Linked DNA regions of Nothobranchius furzeri. The protein of the gene in region 1 purifies or fractionates together with the protein of each later gene. This does not show direct contact. Links are inferred from orthologs where the notes say so. Each region holds a gene or a part of one and is shown on either strand. Other genes may lie near its edges.

What was found.
Region 2: the proteins of ankrd52a (region 1) and ppp6r2b purify together in Homo sapiens (affinity purification with mass spectrometry; 3 studies listed by BioGRID and IntAct, counting the BioPlex papers as one, with this or other methods). This does not show direct contact. The link is inferred for Nothobranchius furzeri from reciprocal best matches to the Homo sapiens genes ANKRD52 and PPP6R2.

Annotation. Positions count from the first base shown.
Region 1 is NC_091755.1:37,185,718-37,190,018, reverse strand, and holds the start of ankrd52a (serine/threonine-protein phosphatase 6 regulatory ankyrin repeat subunit C), read left to right. Parts: upstream 1-1,254; 5' UTR 1,255-1,408; coding exon 1,409-1,435; intron 1,436-2,023; coding exon 2,024-2,107; intron 2,108-2,238; coding exon 2,239-2,317; intron 2,318-2,488; coding exon 2,489-2,559; intron 2,560-2,702; coding exon 2,703-2,903; intron 2,904-2,998; coding exon 2,999-3,086; intron 3,087-3,183; coding exon 3,184-3,326; intron 3,327-3,484; coding exon 3,485-3,697; intron 3,698-4,301. UniProt on the Homo sapiens protein: Putative regulatory subunit of protein phosphatase 6 (PP6) that may be involved in the recognition of phosphoprotein substrates.
Region 2 is NC_091744.1:70,738,484-70,742,976, forward strand, and holds the start of ppp6r2b (serine/threonine-protein phosphatase 6 regulatory subunit 2), read right to left. Parts: upstream 2,907-4,493; 5' UTR 2,783-2,906; intron 1-2,782. UniProt on the Homo sapiens protein: Regulatory subunit of protein phosphatase 6 (PP6). May function as a scaffolding PP6 subunit. Involved in the PP6-mediated dephosphorylation of NFKBIE opposing its degradation in response to TNF-alpha.

The DNA.
Region 1 (4,301 bases):
TAAAATGTATTATTATAGATATAAAAACTGCAGAACAAAAAATAATATGGGGATGTTTGAATGAAAATTTCAACATTATTACCTCACATACATTTTTTACCTGCATGCTATTATTTTTACATTCTATTTGCCTTGTGATATATCATAATCTTTACTGTCCAAAATTATTTAGAAAAATATATGAACTTGCACATTTATTTATGCGCTTCTCTTAAGTGTACGTTGATGCCACGTGGCATTTTAAAATATATTTTATTAATTGTAACAAGACGTGTAATTCTACTACTATTTTAAAACACACAAAGAAACAGATCAATTAGCCTTATCACTCTCTCTCTTTCTTAACATTTTTTTAAATCACAATTGTCTATTTTTTGCTCATTTTAAACAAATTTTAAACCATTTTCTAAATAATTTTTTATATATTTTTACATTTTTTGTTTTTGTGAAGCGCCTCATGATTTTTATCTTGAGAGGTGCTATAGAAATGATATCTTCTTCTTCTTCTTCTATACATTTTCTTCTTAAAAAAGAAAAGAAAAATAGTTCACACCTTCCATAATCAAAAACAAATTGCAAAAACATTTCATTTGTTGTTTTAAATTGTTCATATAAACATAAACTGTGAAAACAAAGCTTACCATTGTTTATTTGTTTTTCTTATTACAAAAATACAAAAGTGACATGTTCTTAGTTTAGATATGATACTAAAGGCCTGTAGGTCATTCATTTCCTCTGCAGTAAGACTATAACTCCACAGTTTAACTGCTACTGTCACCATCCTGTCACGTCACATCAGAGCTATATTCAATACTTGTGAAATACATGTGTCTTTCAATTGTTATTCAGTAATATCCCAATTCCTTGAGTATTTACTTGTATTTTTATTCCCATTTCTTTAAGTGTATGTGAATTTTCCCACTGTGATCAATAAAGTCTATTCTATTCTATTCTATTCTAGGCTAGGCTAGGCTAGGCTAAAGACTAAACTAATTCTTATGTAATCTTACCTTTGCTGGGAACAGGAATGTGTCACATTTTTTTGTTTAATGCAGTATGTATAAAACTATTAACATGACATTAGTTGCGTGAAAGCTGCAGTAAAAGTTTTTAATTGATCTAAAAAAAATGCCAGTCATGTTTAAAAAAAAGGATGCGATAAATCTTTCTACCACAAGGTGTCGACATTTAGCCCGAGTCAGGGAGAGCAGACCGCCACGCCTGTAGGCGGACCAGCGCAGTCCCAGAGCAGACACTGGATACAGACAACAACAGTGACAGACGGAGTCCGCAATTGTCTTTGCTTTTAGTCATGGGTGTAGTCTGAGAGGTGGACACAGTAGCACACTACTATTTACCTCGAAGTTTTATCCCGATGAAGGAGCTCCGTCCTGGCTGAGTTTGGGAGATGGGAGTACTCAACATTGCAGACCAGGTACGCCGAAAGAAGGCGCTGTGGTTCTGCGATGGCGCAGTCTATTTGCTGGAAATGAGCTGCTTTAGTGCGCAACATGCTACGTATTCGCCGATCCACTTGTCAACATTTTTGTACTAATATGACCTGTGTTCTTATTTTAATGCGTATCCTACTGATAACGACTTAGTTTCTTGTATTTTTTGTCGTTTGGTTAGTGGACGGTTGTTTGCGTTGTTAAATGCCTTCCTCGGACCGTAGTCTGGTTCAGGGCCAGCTCACTTGGCTAGCTGACGTAAGTACGACGACACGGGCCTGTAGGCCTAAGCTGAGGCTTGGTGTAATTCCTGGAGAAAAAGATGTTCTTGGGTGATTTATCGGCTGTAAGCGTTTGGAACAACATTTACCGCCGTGCTATTGACTCTAGCAACTTGACTAAGTAATAAATAACGTTAAATTATTAAATCGGTTCAAATAAATCGTAGATGCGAGCTGATCTTATCCAGACAAGCCATTGGTCCGGATTGCGCGGAGACGTTTTTACCTCATTTCTTTAATTGCACATGTATTTTTAGCACAAAGTCAGCTGGTGTTTATTGTGTGTTGCAGCCTCCTCTGGTCCAGGCCATCTTCAGTCGGAATACTGAAGAAATTCAACTGTTATTGCACAAAAAGGAAGATGTCAATGCACTGGTGCGTTCAAAGCACACGGGGTTTTATTGGGAAATTGATGCAGAAGATTTAGAGATTTTTAATTGTGTGTGTGTGTGTGTGTGTGTGTGTGTGTGTGTGTGTGTGTGTGTGTGTGTGTGTGTGTGTGACAGGACCAAGAGCGCCGCACGCCTCTTCATGCTGCTGCCTGTGTGGGTGATGTCCATATAATGGACCTCCTCATTGAGTCAGGTGAGTCTGCTGCATTTTAGCCAGATGTCTTGTTTCTTCTCATCACATGGACACACCAAACCATCTCTTTGGGTGCAGTTATCAGCTGTGTGACATAATTTGATAAATGCGCTGTGCTTCTCCTTCTAACATGTTAATAATTATCTAATTTGCATGACTGGATCTGTCCAGGTGCCAGCGTTAATGCTAAGGACCACATATGGTTGACCCCATTGCACAGAGCAGCTGCATGTAGGAATGAAGTAAGACTATATCATAATGAGTTATTATTTGATAGAGTCAGATGTATTCACATTTAATTGTAAAATGCATTTAGCAGCACAGTGTAAAAATTGATGTTATCAGTCCAAATGACAAGCTCTGGTTATTGCTTCCTTCTCCTCAGAGGGCAGTGGGTCTTCTGCTGAGGCGTGGAGCCGAGGCAAATGCACGAGACAAGTTTTGGCAGACGCCATTGCATGTGGCGGCTGCCAATCGTGCCACGCGCTGTGCCGAGGCTCTGCTAACCCAGCTGAGCAACCTGAACATGGCAGATCGCACTGGTCGAACAGCCTTGCACCATGCAGCTCAAAGTGGGTTCCAGGAGGTGAGACTGCACTGATTTTATGACTTGTCCTTTGGAAATGCCCTTACAACTGAAACAAATGCTAATATTTTGAAGTTTTGTTTTCTTTCTTTCAGATGGTGAAGCTGCTGTTGAACAAAGGAGCCAACCTGAGTGCCATTGATAAGAAGGAGAGACAGCCTATCCATTGTGCTGCTTATTTGGGTTAGCAGGTTTCATTCAGTAGTTCAAACTTCTGTGTTTGTCATGGTTCCCTTTGGTCATGCGGGTAATAAAAATGTAAACTTTGTGTTTCCTGCAGGACATTTGGAGGTTGTGAAGATGCTGGTTTCTCGCGGTGCTGATAAAAGCTGTAAGGATAAGCTGGGTTACACGCCTCTCCATTCTGCGTCTGCAAGTGGTCACATCGAAATTGTAAAGTACCTGCTGAGAATGGGTACAGAGGTGAGTGGTTGCATCAAAGAATTTGCTTTTAGAACAGCCAGTCTTGATTTTAGACTGCCTTCTTTCAGATTTGACACTCACTATCTAGGAAAGAGCCCGTCTTTAAATGTTTCTGGCTTTCTGCTTAGAACGCTGTGTTTTGTGTGTGTTTTGGTCAGATTGATGAGCCTAATGGCTTTGGAAACACTGCACTCCACGTGGCTTGCTACATGGGGCAGGAAGCTGTGGCGACAGAGCTGGTGAACCACGGAGCTAATGTTAACCAGCCTAACAAGTGCGGCTACACCCCTCTGCACCTGGCTGCCGTCTCCACCAACGGTGCCCTCTGTCTGGAGTTGCTGGTCAACAACGGGGCAGATGTCAACCAGCAGGTATGAGTTTTAATAACCGTGTGCTGTTCAGGACTTGCTCTCTCAACATACAACATACAGTGACCTTTGCCAGATACATTCATATCTGTTCACTTTCACTCTAAGCTCTTCATACAGGTGTAATAAACCCTTTCTACAAATGCCTAGAGGCCTTTTGGCTGAAACGATGAGTAACGTTAGCGTGCTCGCACACTGGGTGAGGCCGTGGACCAAATGGTAAATGGCCTATATTTGATATAGCGCCTTCTAGAGTCCTGGAACCCCCCAAGGCGCTTTACAACACAATCACCCATTCACACACACAAATTCACATGCTGGTGGTGATGAGCTACGATGTAGCCACAGCTGCCCTGGGGCGTACTGACAGAGGCGAGGCTGCCGAGCACTGGCGCCACCGGTCCCTCCGACCACCACCAGCAGGCAAGGTGGGTTAAGTGTCTTGCCCAAGGACACAACAACAGCGACAGACTGAGCGGGGCTCGAACCCGCATCCTTCCTATTATGGAACGAGTACTTAACTCCTGTGCCATTGTCGCCCTTTGTGGTCAACAAAGGTGTCGTCCTCACAGAAACCCTGTTTTTATTCTGTATCTTTGTTCCTGTT
Region 2 (4,493 bases), on another chromosome or scaffold:
TTTACACATTTTATTTCCATATTTATTTATTAATTAATGTATCATTATGTTTCCTCTTTTTTTCATATATTTATTTCTGTATATATTTCTATCTGTGCATAATATTTAGGTGGGTGTTTCTACCACAGGGCCAAACAACACTGGTGGCATCCATTTTTTGGGGGGAGCTGGAATGCAAAACAACCCCATTTTGTCATTTCCTGCCCAGAAGTTCTAAGTTCTGAGGACTACTGAAACGCAGCACTAGTTCCGGATCATGGGTCCCAAACTGCCCCAAAAAATTAATAGGGCCCAATCCCAATACTTGCACTGTGCTCTATGATCTTCTGTGAAATGCACTTGGTGGAGGTGTGCAGTAAGGCTTCGAGTGTGTGGTATACAAATGTGCAAATCTTTGTCAAATTGGGACAGGGAGCATTGCGCCATCGACCGCAACGCATGCCGGGATGCTGGTCGCTGTGCCAGGCCCGGAGTGGCTAATCGGGAAGGTCTGGAGAATTCCCGGTGGGCCGCGCGATGTTTGGGCCGCATGGGCCGGTGCTCTCGTTTTTGTTTTATCATTTTGTTTTTATTTTTTGGTGCCGGTGTTCAGTCATGGCACTGAGGCCGCCGGGCTGATCACATACGCTCCTCCCGGCTGTCTACCTGCAGGCTGCAGCTCGTTTTCTTTTTCCCCCGTATGCGCCTGTGCGCACCACGTGACCACGCAGTTGACGGAGAGATGGAAAGTAGAAAGAGCAAGGGTGGCGCGGAGAAGGCAAGAATTAAAAAGAGGAACGCGCTGGAAACAGATGCAGCTAAATGTGCAAAAATGAGCACCTTTTTTTCTCAAACAAGCTTGCGGTCTTTAACTTCAAATGAAGATAAAACGGGTAAGGCAAGTCAAGATGTTAAACTTTACCGGCTGCAAATCACCATTCAAGCTAATTAAGCATCAATAATGAATTATATGGCATCATGACATAACGTTATGTAATATAATTAACAGTATGATGTGACTGATGCCACCAAACTGTCTTGTAGCCCACAAGATCCAGTAGGCCTAATAAGCACCAGGCAGAAACCCACCATTCCAGAGCGGGCATGTACAGGTAGGATTACTTATTGAGTCAGTGAACTGAATATTATTAAAATTTATATGATGAAAACTATCCTGGCTCTATATGAAAGTGTTCTAAAATGCTAGATGATTCAGCATTGATCAGAAAGCGTGTAAAAAAGGAAAATGAATGCTGAATTTTCACACAGTGTGATTTAGTGTCAGAAGAAGAGCCAGGAGCCAGCAGTGAGGGTATTGCTCCTGTTGGGATAGAAGGTGAGCCAACTCATGTGCAAACAAGCAAACATCAGTTTCATTATAATAATTTTAATGTCCAAATAATAGTAGTGACCTGATGTATTTCTGTTAGTAAATGCACAAAGCCCACAACAGATCGCTATTAGAATGAAAGTAAAATGAAATAAGCCTGCATATTTTGCCATAGAAAATATTTTAATTGGTTACAAAAATGTGTTTTCCATATCAAATGTGCTAAAGCTTTACAGATGATTATTTTAATTGTGTGCAGGTGAGTCTAGGGAAACTGGAAAAAGTGTGAAAGGGAGTGCTGAGTCATTTCATTTTAAAGGTTTGAAAATCTCAGAACAGCTGTTTGAACAGAAGGTGGATTGTTATATTGTTAGAGAAAGTGTTGTAAAGAACAATGTTGGAGATGTGCACTGATGTTCAAATAAAGTAAAGCAACTCTTTCTTGCGCTGAATTACAAGGCTTTACCGAGTAGTGTGCTTTTGTAGACTATACATATAAAGTTCTAACATGATTTTAATAATAATTCGTTAAGTGGGCCGGTCTGGGGTCTGAAACTCCAGGGCTGAAAATGTGTCCCACTCCGGCCCTGCGCTGTGCTACTTTTATTTTTAAAAAATACCTTTATTAACAACTTTCAAACAAACAAACAATTATTTGAAATTTATTTACATCAATTGCTGTCTTGTCCAAAACATTCAGAGCATCAACCAATCATCCTAAAATGAACTACTTTCATTTGAAAATACATATTTTCAGAAAAGACGATTTAGCCATTTTTCCCACAACAATGGATTGTGGGTATTACCCTTCACCCAAGTCCACATCAATGCAGACTTGGGTGAAGGGGGGATCAAGGGTGCATTTGAGAATTGGGACACCCTACACACTCGCACCCCTGACAGAGATTGTGCAATTGAAGGGCGCAAGTGTGGAAGTGCAAGTATTGGGATTGGGCCTAAGAGTCTATGAGATGACAAAGATTATTTTCTGATCCCAATTTATGTGCCATTGATTTCACATATGCTGTCAGTGAATTTTAAAGATTCATTTAGAGATTGGGGGGGGGGGGGGGGGGGGGGGCTAGTACCTATCTCCAGCGGTCAATGGGCAATCAGGCAGGGTACACCCTGGACAGAGAGCCAGTCCATCGCAGAGAAAGCGCTTATTCTAAAGTTATTTTAGGTTTTGTGTGAAAAGATGTATGGGACTACAAATGTTTGTCTCACCAAATTGACGTCATCAAACCAGACAGGAAAAGAGAAGATTAGTTTAGCAAGGTTCAAATCCCTCTTCCACTCGACTCTCAATTCGACTCGAACTTTATAAGCACCTTACAGACACTTACATGCCACCAAAGTGCTTCACAGACACAGATTAAAACATAACACATAAAATCCACTAAAAGTGAAGAAAACACAACCAAATACAAAAATTTAAAATCAGACAAAAAAGCAACACAGTCAATCACTTACACAGATCAAGGTCATCAAGATGGAGGCCCTCACTGTGCTCTGTGCTTTCTCATGATCTCCCACCCACCTGTGGATTCAGTTGGTCGAGCACCACACAGGCTGCTCCCGCTGAGGAAACCAGGGTCCCAGCCCCCCCCCCCCCCCCCCCCCCCGCCACCCCCCCCACCTACCGGGTCTCATGTTGTGAACTGTGACATTCGTGCTTATATGTAGAGGTGTTTTTTTGCATAGTAGAGCCACACCCTGCCGGTGTAACTCTGTTGATGCCTTTTTCTCCCTCCCCGAACTCTCCTCATGTAATCCCCTCTTCATCTATTGAAATGAGCGCTGTTATGGCTGCTCCCGTGGTCTGCCTGTATCTGTCTTGTCTATATGTGTGTGTGTAATCTTGGTCAGGCTGTTCTGTGGAGTCAAGTTCCTATGCTCTGGTTCGCTGGAGTGCTGGCAATAAAATTCTCTCTGATTCTCTGATTCTGATTAAAAGCAAGTTAATAAAAATGTGTCTTCAGCTTGGATTTTAAAACTGGTATGGAAGAGGACTGCCAAAAGTGTAATGGAAGCTCATTCCATAGTTTTGGAGCTGCAACTGAAAGGCTCATGTCACCCCGCATCTTCACTATCTTCACTCCCAAATTAACAGCATAGTCCTGTGGTGGGTTAATTCACCACAATCCACCATGGAGTTTATCGGTGTGGCGGCTCGAAGAGCACTGCTTCTGTCTTCCCCTCATTGAGGCACAGGAAATGTTCTACCATCCACCACTGACCTCACACAAACAATCTAAAACCTTTGAGATTGGTTGACCACCAGCTTCATCCAAAGGCAAGTACAGTTGGCAGTCATCAGCATACAGGTGAAAATCAATACTGTGTTTCCATAGGATATCACCCAAAGGCAGAATATACACACAAAACAGCAGGGGACCCAGTATTAAACCCTGCGGAACACCCCAGAGGAGATGGGAGAATTCAGATGAGAAACCACCCATCTGGACACACACCATTTTATTAGAAAGGTAGGACCAAAACCAAGTCATTCCCACATAGTGCTCAAAACGATCCAACAACACTGTATCAAAGGCTGCTGTCAAATCCAGCAAAACATGTAACATAGACCTTCCGCCATCAGTTGCAAGAAGAATGTCGTTCAGGACCTTCAGCAAAGCTGTCTCAGTGCTATGTAGTGGTTTAAAACCAGATTGAAATTTTTGTAAAACATTATTTTCACTCAAAAAGTCCAGCAATTGTCCAGAGACACTGGTCAACAAACGAAGGAGCATTAAACATGGAAATAACCACTTTAAATATGGCCACGTAGAAAGTAGCACGGAATAAGATATTCTGTGATAATGTCATAGATGTGGTGTCTAATTTGTTGTCACTTTAATATTACATTTTACAAGCTAATAAATCTCAATTTACGTGACAGAAACACACGTAATAATTTTTAATCTAACTTAAAGTGCAACATATGTGCAATACAGGTCGAAAGGCAAAACGGATTAGAAAAAGTTTTTAAAGCTCCTTTCACTTGCAGTCATTTTTTTCTTTGTTCTGGGGACCCATGGGTTAACTGGAAGGGGGCAGACAGTCGTTTTTCCATCTGGACTGCTCAGTCCAATAAATAAATAAATAAATAAATAAATAAATAAATAAACGTTGTATTAAATTTCACATTTATTTATTTACTTATTTATATTAGTTGATTCAT